Linked DNA regions of Arabidopsis thaliana. The protein of the gene in region 2 interacts with the protein of the main gene of each other region in a pairwise test. Each region holds a gene or a part of one and is shown on either strand. Other genes may lie near its edges. The genes, in order: UBP16 and SHM1.

Evidence for each region.
Region 1: the proteins of SHM1 (region 2) and UBP16 interact in binary tests that used the Arabidopsis thaliana proteins (3 or more experiments, as listed by UniProt).

Annotation. Positions count from the first base shown.
Region 1 is NC_003075.7:12,676,746-12,689,234, forward strand, and holds UBP16 (ubiquitin-specific protease 16), read right to left. Parts: upstream 8,232-12,489; 5' UTR 7,784-8,231; coding exon 7,503-7,783; intron 7,079-7,502; coding exon 5,797-7,078; intron 5,692-5,796; coding exon 5,606-5,691; intron 5,479-5,605; coding exon 5,393-5,478; intron 5,288-5,392; coding exon 5,125-5,287; intron 5,028-5,124; coding exon 4,904-5,027; intron 4,818-4,903; coding exon 4,660-4,817; intron 4,252-4,659; coding exon 4,167-4,251; intron 4,071-4,166; coding exon 3,861-4,070; intron 3,399-3,860; coding exon 3,337-3,398; intron 3,238-3,336; coding exon 2,748-3,237; 3' UTR 2,455-2,747; downstream 1-2,454. Other genes in the region: AT4G24550 (Clathrin adaptor complexes medium subunit family protein), read left to right, coding at 17-133, 201-329, 519-645, 958-1,058, 1,139-1,243, 1,339-1,433, 1,590-1,677, 1,765-1,825 and 2 more; DIC2 (dicarboxylate carrier 2), read left to right, coding at 9,801-10,742; REN1 (Rho GTPase activation protein (RhoGAP) with PH domain-containing protein), read right to left, coding at 11,134-11,454, 11,528-11,662, 11,745-11,808, 11,906-12,075, 12,162-12,275, 12,373-12,456. UniProt on the Arabidopsis thaliana protein: Recognizes and hydrolyzes the peptide bond at the C-terminal Gly of ubiquitin. Involved in the processing of poly-ubiquitin precursors as well as that of ubiquitinated proteins.
Region 2 is NC_003075.7:17,828,660-17,839,361, forward strand, and holds SHM1 (serine transhydroxymethyltransferase 1), read right to left. Parts: upstream 6,359-10,702; 5' UTR 6,084-6,358; coding exon 5,997-6,083; intron 5,891-5,996; coding exon 5,840-5,890; intron 5,669-5,839; coding exon 5,582-5,668; intron 5,487-5,581; coding exon 5,365-5,486; intron 5,261-5,364; coding exon 5,184-5,260; intron 5,105-5,183; coding exon 4,980-5,104; intron 4,896-4,979; coding exon 4,803-4,895; intron 4,716-4,802; coding exon 4,623-4,715; intron 4,545-4,622; coding exon 4,347-4,544; intron 4,260-4,346; coding exon 4,155-4,259; intron 4,074-4,154; coding exon 4,008-4,073; intron 3,926-4,007; coding exon 3,848-3,925; intron 3,768-3,847; coding exon 3,656-3,767; intron 3,575-3,655; coding exon 3,464-3,574; intron 3,381-3,463; coding exon 3,232-3,380; 3' UTR 3,072-3,231; downstream 1-3,071. Other genes in the region: AT4G37920 (endoribonuclease E-like protein), read right to left, coding at 1-113, 192-379, 456-700, 776-941, 1,033-1,298, 1,475-1,658; NdhM (subunit NDH-M of NAD(P)H:plastoquinone dehydrogenase complex), read right to left, coding at 2,089-2,289, 2,374-2,826; AGL21 (AGAMOUS-like 21), read right to left, coding at 7,036-7,173, 7,250-7,333, 7,436-7,477, 7,593-7,692, 7,817-7,878, 8,024-8,102, 9,781-9,962. UniProt on the Arabidopsis thaliana protein: Functions in the photorespiratory pathway in catalyzing the interconversion of serine and glycine. Involved in controlling cell damage caused by abiotic stress, such as high light and salt and the hypersensitive defense response of plants.

The DNA.
Region 1 (12,489 bases), 5.2 Mb from region 2:
GTGCTCTTTTGATTAGGATTTTGGTTACGTGCAAACTACATCTACCGAAGTTTTGAAATCTTATATATTCAATGAGCCGATTGTGGTTTCTCCTGCCCGCCTTCAGCCTATTGATCCTGCTGCCATTTTCACAGTAAGATTGCTTTTCATTTTCCTCCTCCTGGTATATGTGACTGACCCCTTTAATTTATGCTATGCAGCAAGGAGCCAAAAGAATGCCTGGAACTGCAGTTACAAAATCGGTTGTGGCTAATGATCCTGGGGGTCGGAGAAGAGAGGAAATTTTTGTGGACATCATCGAGAAAATCAGTGTTACTTTTAGTTCAAGCGTGAGTAGTTACTTGCTTCTAGTTTATTATATCAAAAGTACAGAAGTCTTGGCATGTTCTCTTCTTGCCATATCAAACCACCCATTTCTGCGGATCAATGCTTTGTATTATGTCCTAATACATGTAGTTGCATCTTAATGTTAGTTTTCTTCATGGAAAATATCCATTATTTTTCTGATTTCTGAACAGGGATATATACTGACTTCTGAGATTGATGGCACCATTCAAATGAAGAGCTATCTTTCTGGTAATCCAGAAATCCGTTTAGCTCTTAATGAAGACCTAAACATAGGAAGAGGAGGGAGATCAGTATATGGTATTTCTTGTTTCACCCCTTTAAATCATCTTTATTATATTTGGAAGGAATCAACGTCATATTCTATCTTGTCTCACTCTTTGAAATCTTGGTGTCTCTTTCTGTGACATTTGGCGTTGACAATGCTTAAATGTCAACTAAGCTGTATGTTCCACTTACAAACTTCCCTCATAAGTCATAACCCAATTCGTAAATATATGTAGTTACTCTTGTAGCATTTTTTCTGCATCTTTGAGGCACATCAGTATCAACTGGGGATTGATCTATTAATACAATCTAACCCTTGGTAACATCACACTTGAAATGTTGCAGATTATAGGAGTTCTTCAGGTTCAGGGGTGATACTTGATGATTGTAACTTTCATGAGTCTGTTCGTCTGGATAGCTTCGATTCAGATAGAACTTTGTCCCTGGTGAGCGTCAAAATATTTAGTACAGAAAACATCTTGTAATAGCATGTTGTATTAGTCTTTAACTTGCGTTCTGTTTTCAGGTTCCACCAGATGGTGAATTTCCAGTAATGAATTACCGTATGACTCAGGAGTTCAAGCCTCCTTTTCATGTTAATACCTTGATTGAAGAGGCTGGACGTCTTAAGGTGAAATTTCATGCGTACATGTCTTCTGAGTCAGATAAAAACTGCGTATATTTCTTAATTGCTCTATAAATATTTTTCTGTTTGCTGAAATTTAGGCTGAAGTGATTATTAAAATACGCGCTGAGTTCCCTTCAGACATAATTGCAAACACAATCACTGTTCAGATGCCATTGCCAAATTATACTTCCAGGTACATAACTTTTTGATTGGTTTGTACAAGTGCATCACTGAGATATTGTACATGAGGAAGAGAATACGATGAATTTATTTAAATTCCAGCTATAGTGATATACCGAATTCTGAATCACACAAGAAATAGAATCAACGATTATGTTTATTGTGACAGGGCTAGTTTTGAGTTAGAACCCGGTGCTGCTGGACAGAGGACAGATTTCAAGGAATCCAACAAAATGCTTGAATGGAATTTAAAAAAGGCAAGTGTTAAATCTCTCACGTGGTTTGCTAGTTTAGGTATATATTGAACTGTATGTTGCTTCCATGAGCTAACTGTGGCATTCCAGATTGTTGGCGGGGGTGAGCATACACTGCGTGCAAAGCTTACATTTTCACAGGAATTTCATGGTTACCCTCTAAGACAAAAGTTTGTAATGTTTGTTCTCTCAGGGGAAAATAAAGCATTACTGATAATTCTCAATTCGTTGTAGGTAATATCACAAAGGAAGCAGGGCCAGTCAGCATGACGTTCACGATACCTATGTACAATGTTTCTAAACTTCAGGTAAGTAATATGCCGATTCTTGCATTGCCATTAACCGTCCTCTTCGATCATTAACGCTAATGAATTGGGTGATGCAGGTCAAATACTTGCAGATAGCAAAGAAATCAAGTAGTTATAATCCATATCGTTGGGTGAGATATGTGACACAGGCGAATTCTTATGTGGCTAGGATATGACCTGTTTTCAGATAATGTTTATCCTTCACTTGTATGTCTAAGTACTTTCTCTTTTCATTTTCGGATCACACTTGCTTCACAGTACTGTGTTGAATGTTGTCTCTTCTATTTGGATACTTTCTTGTTTCGGTATCAACATATATGGCTATATGCTTTTATTTTGTTTGCCCCTGAAAACATCATATGATCTCTTTTCTTGGAACTGGCAAAATTGCATCTTTTGGGATTTTTCTTGAATTTCTGAACTGAACTGAATCCAAAGATTCAAAGTTAAGCAAATTGCAAAAGAAATAAAGGTGCAACGATGAGACAATATTAGATTAGCTTTATTGATTGATTATAATAAAAGTCAAAACAACTTATTAACAAAGGTAAATTCCGTTCCATTACGTGATACAATTTCATGGGCAAAAACTCTCTTCCCCACTATACACTACTATATACCACCACTTCTCTCATTAACCACTTTCACCAAGCCTAAATACGGGTTGTTAATAAAACCACTCAATCTACGTGTAATCAAATCTACTTTCTTCTACTACTTTTGACTTAGTTGGGGCCAAGTGGACAAAAAACCATCTTGTTTCCCTTACCTTTCTCCTCCCAAGGGCAACTGATGTCTTGAGGTTCCGTAAGTTTCTGGAGAAGAACGACTGAGCGGCGAACGCCTTGTGAAGGGGGGAGAAGATGAGGAAGACGATGATGTTGGTGAGGGAGTCTCAGACTGTCCGTGAGCCCGTCCCTGATGATCTCCAAAAATGAAATCAGCAAAGTCGTCCATGCTTGTACTGTCTGTGCTACAAGAGCATTCATCTGAGTTGCTGTCAAAGAGAGATGAACTGTCACTCGCCGAGTCTTCTTCTAAAATCTTCTGCAGCCTCTGGAAACTAGAATAAAATGACTGTATATTGCCGGATCGACCACCACCAGGCGTGTTGGAAGACAACTCAGGACTTGAAGTAGACACAGACCGGGATATGGTACTTTTCTCATTAGCCTTAGGTAGTGGCACTCTGCTTTTTTTATTGGATGCTTCAGTTTTGGTACATACTGCTAATCTTGGAGGCGTTGGAGTGCACCTGCAGTCAATTCATTCGATATATACCATCATAAGTAACCAGATCGAGCATAATCCACAACTTTAAAGAGTGTGAGAGATGCATTATAATATTATTTACCTTGCGTAGAACAACATATACGCTCCCTTTGTCAAGATCCTTTCCACATCCGAAGTTACTACCTGACAATAATCAATGCACAACAGAGGAATTAAACATTGAAATTTTCTTCAAATGTATGATGCAGATATATGGATGATGACGAGAAGAGACCAGTCAATGAGTAGAAGCCAAAACATTTTCTCTCACAAAACCAATCCTACGACTCTTCAGACTACAACAAAGATAGAAACCCCAATGGAACCAGCTAGAATATCCTTTCTAGAAAACAACTTCAGCATATAAAAGGAAGGGGAAAATTATATAATACTTATCCATTCAAAATTTCAAACTAAGAAACTCATCACTGAAAAGGAAGAAGCAGAAAATTGTAAACCTAAAATGCTGTCATAGAAGTAAGATACTCCTAGTTAATTCCAAAGTTCATCAAATAACAAACTCAAGTAAAAAGGGAACAAAAAATCGAGCTTACTTATAAACTAATTCGCAAACAACATTCCATTGATAATATATGAGAAACTTACCGTGCTATCATCAGCCTTGTACCACTTATTTTGGTTTCTAATATAGCAGACATAATGGCCAGAAAATGCTGCATTCATTACATCCAAGTGAACAATAACTCCATAGAGTTTGTAGTCATGTGATTTTTCACTTCCCCCACTGACATATGGAGCCAAATCTAGAGTTTCTGGAAACCTAATCAACTTATTGAGCTTCCCGAATTTCCCTGCCTTTAAGAATCAAGTGTCGCAAAATTGTGAGAAACAAGAGAATCCAGATAGAACTAAACAGAAACAAACCGGGTATTCATTGAAGATATAAGTTACCTGGAATCGTTTTAGTGCAATGGTAAGGACATTCGGAGGCTCTGTTATTTTCAGCTTCTTTTTGGCTCTCTCATAGGATTTACAGCTGCTCACAGGAAAATAAAAAAATTGAGTAAGCACCCATCAATCATTGAATGTAAAATCGTACTGCCAGGATTTACATAAGAGGTTACAGGTGATTAGTTAAAACTACGCAAATGAAAGACCATGATAGTACTTCAAAAACATTCTGTCTTCATAAGCTAGAAGGGAATTTTATTGCAGCTGGTCGTGGAATCTAGGTATTGTAATTGAAATATATGAAAGGGAATACTTTGGCAGGCCATGAACTCTACTTCAGCTGCCCATGAACTTTAAATCAATCGGTATCATACCCAACTCAGAACCATATATAAAGCTCATGTAAAACTCTATCCTCAGAACCATGAAAAGATAATTCGAAATATCAAAGGACCACACGAAGTTCAACACATGGAAAGGAATGCTGACCAACCTGCCACATCTGTATTTGTTCTCTCCATCCAATATCTCAGTCCTTGTAAATCGACGCAAAGCATCATCCAGGGTGCTAATATCTCCATCAATCTCAACCGTTAGATCCATCATTTTCTCACGCAGCTCAGATTTTACTTGACATTTCATGCATTTAATCTGGCAGAGATCATAAGTACCAGGATTACAACTCCCTCCAAAACAAAGTAAAATGAGTAAAGTACAAATGTTGTAGGTAATGATACCTTTGACCGGAGGTATCCCCCAAATGTCAAACCAATAAGAGTTGTATCTTCTAATTTGCTACTCTTGGTCATATCATATTCAGATGCCTTAATGCACACAGACTGCATTGTATCGACAACAAACCTGCAAATTGCAAGGAAAATGAAATTAACACAGATCTTCCAGTTATAATAAAGATATATGCAACAAAGTTTGCTCAATTTCAGAAATGTCAGTTCACCTAAGGAATTCATGTGCATCTTCTTCCTTGCCATTCCCAAGAAAGATTCCAATATTCTGCAGCTGAGATAGCAAGCCATTAGGGGACAGTGGAGACTTCTCTTCTTTTGCCTTTACGACCAGCTTCTCAAACCCACAGGTGAAGCACTGTTCTTTTTTTGTACCTATAGTTAAACGACTTATTAAAGGCTTGATATATTGATGATAATAAAAAATAACCTTCCAAAATAAGCAGCAAAAAGAAAAAAGACTTAGAACCAGTGACGCACATGCTCTGGAATGAAATTGCTGGAGGAAGTATGTCGTCAGAGGAGGAGTGAACATAAGGCATTGAAAGACAACATTAGCAAAGCAGCTGCAAGAAACAGAGTATATTCTTGCATCAGCGAGTGTAAGCTACACATTTACTTTACATTTTTTACACCACAAGCTGAAGATTATAACAGCTAAAAACGACTAGAAAAAGAGGAAATTGGAATTACCTATTGCCAACGTTGATGAGGCCACAAGGCTGGAACTCAATTTTATATGTATACAGTTTAGCAAAGACTTCATATGGAAAGAGCCCCTGCATGTCACCAAAAGATTGATAAGAAAAATAGCTTTGCTGATTTGTTAATGTAGGAACTAAGTATTGCATAATGATGATAACATCCTAGAACTCAGTGATTACCTTATGACCATGTCTTCCTGCCATCTCATTTTCAGACTTCGGTCTGGTCCACTGGTCTACAACTTTCAGTACTGATGCCTTTAAACCACTTCTTCCATGTAGAGAATTTATATGCTGAACGACAGCACCATTCTGTTTCTGATGATCAAGAACTCTTACCGATTTTGCACCTAAAGGAGAATGCTTCATAAGATCAGCACACTTCTTGGTATTCGAGGCCTTGGATGCCAAAAGTTGGACTTCCCCAACCTTCAAAGGGGCCAACATAGAGCCATTTTCACTACTAGCGCTCTTTGACTTCGGAAGGGTCACATGGGACAAATTAGAAGAGTCCAAAGGACTCAGCGCATCAGTAGAAGAGGAAATTGGTAATGCAATTTCAGCTTCATCAAATCTTTTAGCATTTCTTTCTCTTAAGTTTACTCCATCAGATATATAACCAGTCCCCCTAGGAGCTTCTTTTAAAATGCTACTCCTCTGCTCAGAAACTTTAGCAGCTGAGGTGTCTCTAGAGGAGCCAGAGCCAAAGGAGAAATGCAGAGAGGAGTTACCAGGTCTACCAGATTTAGATTTAACACAAGAATCACTCACACGTTCGGCTGATCCAAGAGCCGTACCCCAAAAATCAGATGACTTCAGAGATGGGTCAGCTGATACTGGATGCCTATCCGTAACTAATGAGTGTAAGCTCCTTGATTGGCTCTGGTTCTGCCCAGCATCATCCTCAGGTTTATGTACACTTAATTTAGGCAGATTAGCGAGATTATCTACAGATTCAACCAAGTGCACAAATTTTGGAGACAACAGTTTGGATGGAGCATCTTCAATGGTGCTGAAACAGGTGTCTTCTGGCTCTACAGAGACATGAGCATCAAGTAGGGACTCTGATCTCTCGGATTCAGATGAACTGAAGCTCTCACAACGAGAAATCTCGTCGCCAGAGTCATTACGGGGGGAGGAGGAGAAGCCAGAAAACGAGGATCCAGATGTTTCAGCAACAGAAACAGCTTCTTCCTTATCTATAAGGTCATCTTTGTTATCTGCAATATCTCCATTCCCATCTTCAGGAGATCTGGCACGATTAGATAATAGTGATTCCCCGATTGGTATAGTAACTGGTTCTGGACCCACCAGTAAAGTTTCCTCAGGAGTATTTTGTCCATTTTCTTCTCCTAATCTCAAATCGGAATCACTCTCATCTTCACTATCATATACAATGGAAGCAGGATGACATTCATCTTTGTGACCTTGCCGCCAGTGAATGATTTGACATTTCCCGGAACTGGAAAAAAAATAACAAAAACGAAACAACTATCACTAAGATATGTAGGTAACGAAATTTCACATGCGCTAAGGGGAAAAGGTTGAAAATTTGATAGACATTATAGTACATTTCTTAAGCTATCTAATTGAAATAAATTCCTCAGCAGCACATAGTTAGTTACTCACAGATAAGCCATGAATCAAATACTAAACTTCCTCCCAAGCTAACTAATTACCCATAATTTTGTTAACATAGAAAAAGAAGTCAATTTTCTTAAATCTCTGATCCAGTATCGCTAAAGTTACAGAACTAACTTATATTCTTTGCCTACTAATCACTCCAATTCATCACGTCTCAGCAGAGAGTGCAGCAGATGCAATCATAACTCTAAGATCATACAACGTAATTTGGACATGGAGAAAGTGAGAGAATTTTTGCATACCAATATCGAACGGCTTTGCAGCGAGAGCAACGAGTCGTGGCAAGACAATAGCAAACAGGACAATGGAAGACATTAGAGACGGCAACAGAAGAGAACTCAACAGAGGCCTCTAGCTCAGCCCTGGCAGCCTCTTCAGAAGCATGAATAAGAAGTCTTCTAATCTCCTCCCTTCTTTGGGCAGCGACCCTCCATTTGTGACGAACAAAGAGACCGATCAAAGGTAAAACAAGAGAGACCACAAGGACTAGACTAGAAATCCCTAGATCCAAAACAAGGAGCATTTATCCTCCACCAGATGCACAAACAATTGGAAATAAATCTGAGCACCAACCATAGATTTCACCGGCGAATAAGCCGGGAACAGAGGTGACAGTGAGGATCAGTCCGGCGATTTAGCACATGCAGAGAGAGCGAGAGAGAGAAGCCAGGAATCGATGGAAGTTATAATTTTTTCGCTGGTGGGTAAGCTTCCAAAATGATGACCCAAGAAAATCCAAAGATGAGAAGGAATAAAGAAAACCCTAGAGAGCACAAGTTGGGTTTTCTATTGTTCTCTGGGAAAAAGTTGAAAAAATCTGGTGCTTCTGGTTTAGGGTTTCGAAAGAGGGCAAGAGTGGAGAGATTCTTCGGTAGAAGGACGAAGAAATTAGGAGGCAGTATATTACTTTTCTATACCAAGACGCTTTGCTTTTTCATTTTACCAGACCAGACAACCTTTTTTTTTTTTTGCTCTAACGTCATTTGGAAATCATATTTTTATTACCAGGAAGCCCTTCTTTTAAAAACAAAATAAGAATAATAGTTCAACGGAAATATGAATTTGCATGTTGACAATGATAAAAAGTTATGAATTAGTCAATTAAAAAAGTGTGTAAGTTATGTATTAGTCAATTAAAAAAGTGTGTATGATGGGATATTGTAGCTATCTATTATATATGTATATTTAGTGCCATTTTCGTGTCACACCATGTCTTCATTTTTATTTTTCTTTACCATGTGTTATACTTTTTTGTTATAAAAAGTTGATATATATATATTATCGCTTAACTTTTTTTAAGTAACTATAAAATGGGTATCATATATAACAAACATATATAAGTATTTTGCAATTTATGCGATATATAAAAATAAAATAAAATAAATCTACACGATTCTATATGTTATATTATAAAGATCACGCCATATTATTCTATCTATAAGAATACAACGTACGGGATTATATATGATAGACGATTGTATTTGCGGGACATTGAGATGTTTCCGAAAATAGTCATCAAATATCAAACCAGAATTTGATGTGAAAACACTAATTAAAACATATAATTGACAACTAGACTATATCATTTGTTAAGTTGAGCGTTGAAAGAAAATGAAAGAGTGTAGACTGTAGTATGTATGAGTTTCCCAAAGGATGGTGCTTGAATATTATTGGGAAGAGACTTTGGTTGGTTCGGTTGAATGAAGATTTTTACCTGCCATGTTGATAGAGAAAGGCAAATAAATGTAGGGGTCGATGTCTAACGTAAAGACTGGATCAACCAAGAGTCCTCCTCCTCGTCTTCACCAAAAAAAAAGAGTCCTCCTCGTGGAAACTTATTTCTTCTCCAGCCAAGATCTCATCTCATCTCTTCACTCTATGAAATATAAAGGAATCTTATGGTTTTTCTAAAAACTATAGTACGTCTATATACCAAAGGAAACAATATAAAATCAGTTAATCTGATAAATTTTGAGTAAATAATAAAGTTAACTTTGTACTTACCTATATCAAACTAATTCACAAAATAAAGTAATAATAACAAAGAATTTTTAGTAGATCCACAATATACACACACACTATGAGAAATCATAATAGAGAATTTTAATGATTTTGTCTAACTCATAGCAACAAGTCGCTTTGGCCGAGTGGTTAAGGCGTGTGCCTGCTAAGTACATGGGCTCTGCCCGCGAGAGTTCGAATCTCTCAGGCGACGTTTCTTTTGTTTTCGGCCATAAAGGAAAAAGCCCAATTAACACGTCTCGCTTATAAGCCCATAAAGCAAACAATGGGCTGTCTCTGTCTCACTCACACACGCGTTTTCCTACTTTTTGACTATTTTTATAACCGGCGGGTCTGACTTAATTAGGGTTTTCTTTAATAATCAGACACTCTCTCACTCGTTTCGTCAACATTGAACACAGACAAAACCGCGTCACAAAACAAAACTCGCTACAAATAAATACCTTTGTTTCCCTCTTCTTCTCCTTCACTCACAACATCTCAATTTCATTCTCTCTTCTCTCTCCAATTTCACAACAATGGGAGTCAAAAGTTTCGTTGAAGGTGGGATTGCCTCTGTAATCGCCGGTTGCTCTACTCACCCTCTCGATCTAATCAAGGTTCGTCTTCAGCTTCACGGTGAAGCACCTTCCACCACCACCGTCACTCTCCTCCGTCCAGCTCTCGCTTTCCCCAATTCTTCTCCTGCAGCTTTCCTGGAAACGACTTCTTCAGTCCCCAAAGTAGGACCGATCTCACTCGGAATCAACATAGTCAAATCGGAAGGCGCCGCCGCGTTATTCTCAGGAGTCTCCGCTACACTTCTCCGTCAGACGTTATATTCCACCACCAGGATGGGTCTATACGAAGTGCTTAAGAACAAATGGACTGATCCTGAGTCAGGGAAGTTGAATCTGAGTAGGAAGATCGGTGCAGGGCTAGTCGCTGGTGGAATCGGAGCCGCCGTTGGAAATCCAGCTGACGTGGCGATGGTTAGGATGCAAGCTGACGGGAGGTTACCTTTAGCGCAACGTCGTAACTACGCCGGAGTAGGAGACGCAATCAGGAGCATGGTTAAGGGAGAAGGCGTAACGAGCTTGTGGCGAGGCTCGGCGTTGACGATTAACCGAGCGATGATTGTGACGGCGGCTCAGCTAGCGTCTTACGATCAGTTCAAGGAAGGGATATTGGAGAATGGTGTGATGAATGATGGGCTAGGGACTCACGTGGTAGCGAGTTTTGCGGCGGGGTTTGTTGCTTCGGTTGCGTCTAATCCGGTGGATGTGATAAAGACGAGAGTGATGAATATGAAGGTGGGAGCGTACGACGGCGCGTGGGATTGTGCGGTGAAGACGGTTAAAGCGGAAGGAGCCATGGCTCTTTATAAAGGCTTTGTTCCTACAGTTTGTAGGCAAGGTCCTTTCACTGTTGTTCTCTTCGTTACGTTGGAGCAAGTTAGGAAGCTGCTTCGAGATTTTTGATACCATTCTTTTATTGATGATGATGATGGCGACTATTTATATTGATTTATTCATTTTTGAAATAGTGAACACAAGAAGGAACTAGGAAGAGGGGGATTCAATATATTTTTTGTTCAAGCATTGTTGTTAAATACAATTCAATTTTAGTTTCTATACTGATGTGAAATGTCACTACCAAAACAACAGATCCAACGCACAGTTAAAACACAACAAAAAAAGAGAGTGTAGTTTATTTGGTCTTAAAAAAATGCTGAAGCAAGATAAGAATGAGACTAAAAAGAAGAAAGAATCTGTTATTTGGTTGTTGGGGGGTGACGAATAAGCATAACTGGAGGTGGTGTTGTTAAATGGCGGCTGTACATCTGAGGGAAGGGGTTGTTGATAAAGAGTATCATCTGGAGAAGGTCCTTGGTGTAGTGTTGGGATGGTTTCCTCCAGATGATCCTCTGCCTCTGTCTCCTCCGTTCTCGGATCTTCCTCTGTCAAGAATGTGAGGGCTCTGTAGTTTGCTGCTGTCTGGATCCTGGTTCGACCCTGATCCTTTTTCAGTTTCCTCTGATACACGGTTTTGTCCCGAGGTTGGACTGGGTTGCCCTAGGGTTTTTCCTTTGTCCATGTTTTGGAGCTCGTTCGCGATCTGACTACGTCTCTCCTTGAGGAAGTTGAGTCTCATTGTCAATTTGGAAAGTGCAGAAGTTGTTGTTGTGCTTCCCTGTTTATTTCACTCAGTTTCTAGCTTTGAACGATATTTGGATGAAATTTAATGGTTACACTATGAAACTTACCTCTCCCTTTGTGCCAGACCTCTTTGACAAGCCCACCAGTTTTGAGCTGCCACGTGATGTTTCTTGTTGCGAGCTTTTGCTCCGTGAATCCTGTTGCTTCTCTGTCTCATTTTCTCTTGCAGCCCCTTGCCCATCCTGCAATATGTTACCCGTCTGTAGAGGATAAATACAGAGGAAGAAAACACAAAATTGATAGACAAATGTTTACAGTGGTTACCTTGGACGTTGATCTTTCAGAAATGTGAGTAGAGGCTGCTTCAGTATCTTTTTGTTTCTCCTTCCTGAGTGACAAATTTGAAAGAAGACGAGTAATTAGCTTTGATATTATTTAAACCATAGGTTGTGAGGTTAAATGTGAATCTGTTGATGAATCCGTACATCTTCGCATTGTGCTCTGGCAATTTCCGAGATTCTTTGCTGGCACTATGCGTAGAACCAGAGGCTTTTCCGTCATGGTGACCAAGCCTATTTTCAAGATCATCAACCTTATGTTCCAACTTGGCAATATCAGCCTCCGCTTGAGCTACCTCTTGCAGATCTTTCTTCAACTGTAAAATGTCTCCCAAGTTAGATATATGTACTTTTAGCCTGACAAAAATCAACTAGTTGCTAGACAAAAATGAAGAGGAGCAACATTTTCATCGATTGTTTCTGGAATAGGTTGATTCCCTTTTGACATGTTCAGTCCTGTTTCCAGAGCTAATTTCCTGTCTCTCTCTTGCTGCAACTGTTCTTGTAGTCTTCCCACCTAGTCAAAGGTAAAGCACATTCATATAACTAAAATTTAAACACTCAATAAATAACAAACTTCACATTGCTAAGATAAGGTTTTATTTTACACTTACATCTTGCTCTAGTGCTTGGCGCCGCCCGTACAAAGCCTTCTTCCGTCGCTCCAAACTAGCCTGTAGAACTGCATTGCTTTTTACCTGTTGTACCAAACATGGAGGTTGTTAGAGATC
Region 2 (10,702 bases):
GAATAACGATAGGTTGGCTCATCTGTTTAGCTTCTTTAATGTCTGTTTCTTCTTTGTTGAGATGGTAAGCATCAAGCATTATCTTTATCCACTTATGCAGCTCCTTTGGCGTCCTGTGTCATCAGCTTGGTTAGAATCAATGGTTGTGGTTAAAGATGAAACACTAAAGTGTGCATCTTTATGTTACTTACGTGTATAATGCTTTAGGGTCCTTAGCTTCGTGGTCATCACCAGGAGAGAATGCTGTAGCTAGGGCAGAGAATCGTTCTTCGGGGTCTGTTATGTTGAGTAAGTACTTTAAAAGTTTGATCTCTTTCGGTGTGATGCTTCTAAGACTGCTCTTTGTAGCTTTGTATAAATGATACATTATGTCTTTAGCCTGTTCAAAAAATACGATATCGATTTGAGAAGATTGTGAAGAATATTAAAGAAGATTGTAATCCAATGGCTATTACCTCGTTCGTAACAGTTTGAGACTCTTTTGCAGCAGCGTATGCACTGTTGATCAATAAGATCAATGAGGAATCAAGCTCCTTTGCCTTGGCTAAACTTCTGATCTTTTCGCAAGCAGAATCCACGGATGGAGAGTTTAAAATATCTTCAAACTTTGCTTGAGCAGTATCTAGAGTCTCAACACTCTCCAACGTGTTGTCATAAGCACTCACAGCAGATAAACATCTAGTTGCAAGCCTCGCAACAGCTGCTCAAAAATAACAAAACAATCATGAAACTGTGGGAATCAATAAGTAAGCAACATGATTAATGTTTTAAGTACCATCTCGGTCTTCCAAGCCATCAAGAGTTTCTGATAACAAAGTAACATAGCGGAAAAACTCTCCCGTAAAGTCTCTGCGTCTCTTGGCAGCGATTGCGTTTATGTCTGTTGGGTTTTCTTGAATCTCCTTCAAAAGGTCATTGTGTTTCTCCATTTCCTTATCTATCTGCAACAATACTCACTCCTATAAGTACACAACAACAACAATAAACTAACCTGAGTTCACTAATAAACACAAAATACAACACTATAAATACCTTCTTGACTTTACTTTCCAAAGATACCAGTTTCTGCTTCAATATAGGATCAGTTTCGGTATCAGCTCGGATTCTGCAACGCTTATAGAAATTAACACTGTACTTGTTCCATTCATCTCTTAAAACCAAATACGTCTTCCATTGTTTAACTTTAGGTTTCTCATTCAAGAAGAGATCAATAATCTTGTCACAAAACTGAGCCATAGTGTAACCTTCAGCAACCTCAACTTCCATTGGATCCTCAACAGAGCTTTTTACTTCCGCACCTAAACACAAAATTTCTATCTTCAATAAAAAAAGCTTCTCTAACTAGACGAATCCTAGTCTATGAAAAGGGTTTAGCTTATCTAATGGTGACAATTAATACAAATTGGAATCTAAAGAAATAGAATTTATTGGTAATTAGACAGAAAGATTAGAGATTTAGGGTTTATGAGCTTACTTGTAGTGCCATTGTAAGTGACAGTGTCGGTAGCAAAGGTGATAGTTGAGCTTTTGCGTATCTTTCTTCCTCCATTGATGAAAGCAGAGAAAGGGAGATGATGGGTTTGAGAATTCTTAGGCGGGAAAGACAGTAATTTATCAGCAGAGGAGAAAAAGATTGATGTTTCCAGTAAATTCGCCATTTTTTCTCCCTCACAAAGTTCGTCTTGGTGACGAACAACGAGAAACACCAGAGGATAAGAAGAACAGGGTTTTAATTGTAAATAATTAGTAAACGTTGACAAATTCAAAAACTTAATATAACTTTTTGGGTAAAAATGTTAAAACTAACAAGTTTTGCATCAGTTTGAAATCTTTTTAAAAAGAGGCAAGGAGTAAGGAACATGAATGAGCAAGACCAGAATTGAGTTTCTTTGACATTACATATTCACATGACCTTAAGACCTTACATTAACAAGAAAAGACAAAGAAACTTAAGATTGATTATTACAAAAATAATTATAGCATATGTCATGATATATACATATGTTACTTTGTGATAGACAAAATTAAAAAGCATACTACAATATATTTATATTCCCATTACATGATTATAAAATAGAGTTTGTTTCACTAAGCGTCCTCTTGAGGCTGACCATCTCCACCACCTTCAATGTTACTGGTATTGAATTGTACACGAGGCTTTCCCATACTGAAATTAAGAACTCTTGCATCCATATTGTATTGTATTTCTCCATCGAACAACATCTTCCTTATGTAATGTTCTACGTCCGATCCTATCAATCTCAATGTGTACTCCGTTAATGGTGCTCCCTGTTCAAAAACAATATTATAAGGTCTTCTTGAAATGAGTCTAACTTTTAGATGAATGTTTCGTTCGTTTATTGTTATCGTTACCTCGTAGTGATCGACGAGTTCTTGGAAATAAGAATAGACCTTGTTACAGCTTTCATCATCCCACACAAATTCTTCAGTAGGATCAAGAATCAAAGTGAGTTTATCCATTTGTGACTGGTCAAACTCACAAGTCTCTGGATCAATATAAGCAGCGTAGATCCTAACGTGACGTGTGACACTGCTTAGCCACTGACCACCAAAATCGCCCATACCCTTGCTCTTCACGTTCAGCTGTTTCTCCACTGGTCTCAATGGTGTTGGCTGCTTCTTCATCTTCTCTGTTGATTGCTCTTCTTTGAGTGTCTCTGTTTCTTGTACTTCAAGAGTACTGTCTTGTTCCGGATTTGTCACCACGAACGCCTTTTGTGTTGTTCTTGGTCGGATTTGAGCAACCATAGAAGGATGTAATAGAGAAAGCTTGGTGCAGGCAGTGTAAGAGAATGCTGCAACCATTTTTCTGTCTAAGAAATGAAAAAAAAAAAACAGAACAAGTTTTGAGATGTTGTCCGGTTACAGAACCATATTCTTGTAAAGAGATTTGATGAGGTTGAGAAATGACCACAGCTTGTGGATGAGCCTCTCCCAACTTCTAGTTTCTTATTTATCCCTTTCTCGTTTTGTTGGTATTTTGTGGTTACTCTTAAGTCACTTGTGAGCTAAAGACAATCTTCTTTAGGGAATTCACTGTTTTGTTGTATGTGTTTTTTTTGTCTAAGTATATTTCTTTTTGATGTATAGAGAGAAAATTTAACAGATCATTATTTTTCGCATAGCGTGAAAATAGAGTTTTACATGTATCATCTATACATTCCATGGGAATTCAAAGCATAACAGAAAACACTTGTGGGGTGAAACAGTTTAGTTCTTGTACTTCATGGTTTCTTTCTCAAACCCAATTGTTGGGAACTGCTTAGCGAATTCCTCGACTTCATGGCGCAGTTTCGCAATCTCGGATTGGATGGTTGAAGAGGATTCCATTGCTGACACGAAATCCTTCAACTTGGTTCCTGGTTTTAGAAACATAACAAATGAGTTCAATCATTGTATATAAGAACGGAAAGCATAGCATCGTGATCAGAGAAGTAAAAACCTTGAGCTTCAGATTTGACTTTGAGAGCTATTGTCACAGCTTTGTCGAAGTATTCAGCTACTTTGGCAAAGTCTTCCTCAACAAAGCCTCTGGAAGTGAGAGCAGGAGTACCTGAAAATAACAATGGCAGAGGATATCAAGAAGAACTCCATTCGAATACCAAAAAGAAAAATGGTTAAATGTGATTTTTACCCATTCTGATTCCACCAGGAACCATGGCAGAAACATCTCCAGGAACAGTGTTTTTGTTGGATGCAATGTGAACAGCTTCCAACACTTTCTCAACTCTAGATCCATCAATTCCCTGCAAACAAAATCGAATAAAAAATGAGTTTTAACTAAGAAATATAAAAGAAGATTATATACAAAAAAAGATCAAGTGACCTTGGGCTTTAGATTCACTAGAACCAGATGGTTGTCAGTTCCACCAGAAACAAGTTCATATCCTCTCTCCATTAGAGTCTGCACGAAACAACAATGTAGAGATATAATCAAAGTAGATACTACGCCATATGTGTTTTTCTTTCCTTCACGGGATTAGTACCTGAGCAAACTTTGCACTGTTACTCAGGACTTGTTCTTGGTATGCTTTGTACTCTGAAGTAGTTGCCTGCATTTTCAAACCATTTGAAGGTTACAGAAACCGCAAATCCAATAAGCAACGTTAGTTCCATTCCGTGCCTCACCGTACCTGTTTCAAAGCAACAGCTAGTCCTGTGATAGTGTGGTTGTGTGGACCACCTTGAAGACCAGGGAAGACAGCTTGGTTGATCTTGTCTTCAAAATCATACAAAACCTTTCAAGACAACAAATGAATGACGTGAAAGATTATACATAAATCTAAAACATTTTGGTTCAAATTTTGCTTCTTTTTCTTTTTTACCTCTTTCCCTTGCTTGTTAATTTCCTTAACACCCTTTCTGAAGAAAATCATGGCTCCACGGGGTCCACGAAGTGACTTGTGAGTTGTGGTGGTTACAACATCAGCATAGTCGAACGGTGAAGGGATTACATTAGCAGCAACCAAACCACTGATGTGTGCCATATCTGCTAGCATTACAGCTTTTTGCTTGTTACAGACCTGGGAAAAGAGTTCGAATCAAAACTCACTACTGATTACAATAATCTGTTCTGTAGTTGGATATGAGACTGAAATTACCTTTCTGATGCGGGCATAGTCATACAATCTAGCATAAGCACTTGCACCAGCAACAATCAATTTTGGCCTGAAAAGAGTAGCACTTTTCTCCATCTGCAAATCAAAATTAAAGACTTATGTATTGTTATGAAGCGGGTTAGTTATAAGTTACTATGATTGCTTAATAGAAGAGTTAAGAACCTGATCGTAGTCGATGTAGCCAGTGCTCTCGTCCAATCTATAGGGCATTGTTTCAAAGAAGATAGACACAGCTGATATCTTCTTGGTGTCAGTCTGATGAGAAATAAGAAGAAAGAAACTGTTATTCATCAGAGTCAGAGAGTTCCGAAATGACATACAAAGTTAACTTGAAGGCACCTGATAACCATGAGAAAGATGACCACCATGAGGAAGATCAAGTGCCATGATTCTTTCATGAGGCTTTAACAATGCAGTGTACACATGGAAGTTGGCAGGAGATCCAGACAAAGGTTGAACATTCACTGTAAGATCCAGTCAAATAAGCCATCAAAGGACTAATCAGATTTCTTGTTTCTCATATACATGAAAGTAGTAATTTACCTCCCCACTTTTCAGGATCTAACCGGAAAGCTTCAAGAGCGCGCTTCTGGCATAAGGTTTCTGCCATGTCTATATACCTACAAAGCAAAAGGTACTTGAGATTTCAATTCTTATTACAGAGATTGGTCAAGCAATCATGTCCTGAAACTAAATGTGTCAGATTGAAAATTCCTGAACATACTCATTTCCTCCATAGTATCTGGCACCAGGATAGCCTTCACTGTATTTGTTAGTCATGACAGACCCAACAGCTTGCATCACCGACACAGATGTGAAGTTCTCAGATGGAATAAGTTCAAGTCCCTATAATAACACAAGCGTTACAAACATCAGCCTAACTTATAATAATCAATCAAGGAACAAGATTTAAGAGATAGTAATCTCAGAGACAAACTAACCTTCCATTGTCTAGCTTTCTCATGCTCAATAATGTCAGCAATCTCAGGATCAACCTCCTCTAAAGGTGCGTTAAGCTGTTTTGGCCACTGAAACGAACGTTTACAAAGACATAAGTTTCATTAGATTCAGTCACACCAAAAATAGAACTCCATACATCAATTTGAAACAGACATAGAACTTCAACAATCAAAACCATTGCTTCAACCACAAGGAAAACTATAAACAAACAAGAGATACAAAAAGGCGCTTAAACTCACAGTGACACGAGATCTTTCCTTCTCATCAACAGCTTCACTGGGCAAAGAAGACTGCAACGGAACAAACAGAAATCAGAAAAAAAAAAAAAAAAAATCGAAAATTTCCAATCCGATTATAAAATTCGGAGATAAAAGGAAGAAACTTTAGGGTTGTTACCATGTAACATGAAGTGGATCGAATAAGAGGACGAATGGGTTTGTCAATTGAAGAAGAAAGCCTTCGAAGAGCCATGGCCATCGCCATTTTTCGCTAAACCTCTCTCTATCTCTGGTTTGTGAAACCCTAGAAACAGATTTGAAACATGAACGAGAGAGAAGAGAGAACAAAAATAACAAAATTGGGTTTATCTTGTTTGAGAGAATTGTGGCCTCTGCTTTTGGCTGAGCTTTTGGTGGTTGCAGCAAATTTTCGAATTTTTTCCCTCTTTTTTTATTTATATTTTCTTCTGATTTTTATTTTATATTTGTTGTTTCTTTGTCGTTATCTCTCAGGTCCCTGTCTACACCAACCTTTGTGAATTGTGATGATTTGGTGACGACGATGATTTGTTTCCCTTTAAGACAGAACCTTTATTGGTTTCTGGTCAGTGCAGTCAACGATAACCGATTCAGTTATCACACATCAATTTAATTTATATAGTTTCCAAACCGGTTAGTTTGGGGGAATAAGATTAACAGAATTATGGTGAATTTACAAAATAAAACCAACAAAACAAAAAACTTAACAGAAAATGTTTATTTAACATTTTAGAATTACCAAGTGCATGGTTATATATATTAAACAAATTATTGATCTAAGAATATTGATATTTGAGAGAGTTTTGAGGATAATAATTCATATGATTTTTCTCTATTAATTGACGAATCTATGGTTATAAACAAGTACAATATTAATACTCAAGATGAGTATAACAACACCGGATTTTAATTATATATGCTTTAATTATATTTAGGATTGAAAATATGACTATGTTAGAAGAACCATGCTGCTTATCGTACGTGGCTTGGTGTATAGAGGTTTCCAGTTCAAGAACCTTATTCAAACCAAGGCCTTTGGAGTGTTCTTCAACATCATGGTATCTTCCAACTTCAATCTGTGAAAGTTTTTAACGAGTTACATAAAATATATAAAATGCCTAAATGGTGCATGCATGTTTGTGAAACATCAAGATCAATTAAAAAAGTTTACCTCTCTGTTATTCGTTTGCTCTTGGTGGAGTGTCATAATCGGAATGTTCAGGCTGGCTTAGTTGCAGCCGAATCTGAGTGTGTGATTCATCATCCGCAACAGCTACTTCACGGTGTGTAAACCCGTTTGTGTTTGCCATATAAGCCTGAAAGTCGAAGCCATATCACTTCGAAGCTCTTACTCCAAAGAAAATGGAGTTTTTGTAAAACATGATTTGTTACCTTCTTGTAGAGCTCCACATTTTCTTGATGAATCCGTTGTACTTTCCTAGATAAATCGAGGTTTTCCTGATGAATAAGATTCCTCTGCACCACGATCAACAAAAATCCCAAAATTAGAATTGTAACTTTTGGTAGGGGATATTTGTGTGTGTCAGTGTGTGTATATATATATCTCATCATAGTGACCTTTTGGCTTAGTTCTTGGATTTCTTGAGTCAACAGTTGTTCCTGTGAATCCGGAAAAGCAATCGTTCTATTGATTTCCGTTGTGTTCTATAGTCAATCTTTTGAGTAATACACTCCAAAGCATATAATAGAAGGTAGAGTATATGTATTTATGTACCTTTCTCATACGAATTCCACGCAAACTTATCTCAATTTGATTCTCAAGACTGTTTAGCTCGTTAACACTTAAACCATTTAGCTGTTCTCCCATCATTTGCCTGCTTCATAGCAAACATACCGCAATCCATAACTACAAGTTTCTTCATTTCCTTTACATGCCTTCTATATTTTGATCAAAGACTAATTCTTAATACAAAATGTTATAAAAGTTCAAGGCGATACCGATGATTTTCTTGCAAAGCATGCAGTTCTTGTCTTAGAACAGCAGCTTCTCTCTGCCAAAACTGTAACACACAACACAAATAACTCATCAAACTTTGAACAGCTCAGTAAACCAAAATCTCATTTCAAAAATCAAACATCATGCTAAAGCATCAATCAATATATAATCACATATCTTTAGAGTTGTCGCTATATCTATATGTATACCTTGACTTCTGATGCGGGGTTCAATAGTTGTTGTTGCTCGATCTTGCTCTTGTTGTATCTATCAATAACCGACTTCATGCTATTCAAAATATTTAATATTAGTATACCTTGTTCATGGTATATAATTCACTCATATCATATCATCTCTTAGAGTAAATTACGTAAAAGATATTAATTTTCGATCGTGAAGTTTTTCCAAGTACTCCATTAAAAAGCTTTCATACGTAAAGAAAAAACTCATAGCCTAGAAATTTGTGCAATATAGACTTTCCTGCATTGGCAACATTATTTACACACGCTTATATATGTACACATACATACATTTCACATAATGTATATAATCTTGAACTCAGCAGTAATACGAATTTGTTACACAAACTAGATAAACTATATATAAAGTAAGTAGATGTTAGTTTCTTTTTTCAATAAGTAACAAAAACAAATGCTTAAATGTTATTTCTAGGGTGTAGATAAGCAAGAACTTTAAAGGAATCCAGTTCTAAGCTATAAACAAAATGACATAAATGTAATGCATTAGCATGGCACACTTTATTTTAAATCCAAGCAAACAATAACATGGTGTTAGTTAGTTTTAAGAATGGTATATAAACTTGACTAAATATGCTAAGTAATTTCATTTACCAAGAGGTTCGTAAACCCTATGATACATGAGAAATGTTATCAAAAGACAAACGTGAAGAATTAATAATGCTTAAGGTTGATGCTAATATAAAATTCCTCAAGGAAAATAGGGAAAAACAAAAATTCGCATTACCATACTCTTTTATTTGGTTGTTTTAATTGATAAATATGAAATTATATAAATTTTCAAAATATATAATCAAAATATTATATGATTTAGAATTACATGTTTATATATGTTTTCTAATAATTAGTTTTTTATCTCTATATTTTTTTTATATTAATCAAACTTTTAACAAAGAATAACTTACTCAGAAAATAGACAATTATAACGATTTTGCAGATATAAAGTTAAATATACAGAGTAATCTGATCGTTTAGTAATAATATATATGATTATATATAAATATCAAAAACATGTTTATGTTTACGAGTATAAATAGATCATTTTGTTAGTGGGTTAAACTAAATCAGCTTCCAGTTTATTGGATTTGAGAAATTAAGTCCTCTACATACCAATCTTCTAACTCGTGGTCTCCAATTATAATTCTTTTTTAGCTTTCCAATAGTGATGTTTGGGCATTCACACTTGTTTTCTCATCTATTTCTGAAACATATCTAAATTTGGAAAATGCAAACAATGAGCCTTAGTTAGTTATAAGTCAATGTCCATACACATAAACATATGTTAGGAAAGTACTTCAAAACATACTGATGATGGGTACATATAATCACCCAAATATGAAGCAAAGAAACTACTTCAAATTATTTTTTCAGCTTCAAAAATATTACTCTTCTTTAAAACTTCTACCTCATTTTTAATCTTTCTTTGTTGTAAGAAAACTGTTTGTCGGCTATACAAGACACATCTTATTGTACATACGGGAAAATTAATGTAACATGTTCTACGGACCGCCAGATGCGAAAAAATTCCACTATATTTGAATAGATCCCACAGCTACATATATCTCAGTGAATATCACCAAGCCTTCTAATAAACAAAACCGTAGCATAAAATTATATGCATACAGTGGTACACAACATCTCCGTAGATGTACATCCACAAAATCAAGAAGATATAAAGATTTCAGAATGAATAATTTTAAAAGAAGAACCTGGAGCTTGCAAAGTCATAGAGCTTTCCGGTGCTAGAGAAGATGATGAGACCGACCTCGGCATCACAGAGAATAGCTAGCTCTTTGGCTTTCTTGATAAGGCCCTTTCTTCGTTTGGAGAAAGTGACTTGTCTACTCGTTGAATCATCGATCCTTTGGATCACAATCTTCCCTCTTCCCATCAATTTTATCCTCTAATTGAATCTCCTCTGGTTCTTCTCTTTTTTAGGGTTTTTTTTTTTGTAGATCTTACCAAGCCCAAAAGGGAAGGGAATATGAAGATGAACGAATAAGGAGAAAGAGAAAGGTAGAAATAGAGAGAGAGGAAGGTTGAGCCAAGAGTCAACAATCTATTCGAGGAATAAACTAAGTATATATATGCATATGCACACACACACATACACACTCACCTCTCAGTTTGAGACATTTTTGGGTAGATTTAATACATAGAAAAGTACTAAATTTCTAGTCCAAAATTAGTATTTGTGTGTATGATTTTATCAAACCAATGAAATAGAGAGAAGTTCTTATAAAGTTCCTAGGTTAAGAGAATATATAGATATAGCTTAAATGTGTGTCATATATACAACTTTAATCACTGATTCTTTTTTATAGTTTGTTTATTACGGGAGATAGTGGAAACTTAATGGAATTGTTTAGATAAAAAGGAGTGAAATAATATTAAACTTAGTGTGAGTTAGGTAAATTTCCATTATCAATAATATTTCCTTTTTAACATGTCCGTACATTATTTATAATTTATTCTTAAGTCTTATTTCAAATGTCATGTGAAAATAGTGAATGGGCGCATCACAGGACTGTGTTTCTCTGACAAAACCCTCTTGCTTTATATGCTGCTTTACTTAATTTAATTAGTATCTTTTAGAGGTGATTAAAAGAAAATTAAAAATATTCTGGCCCT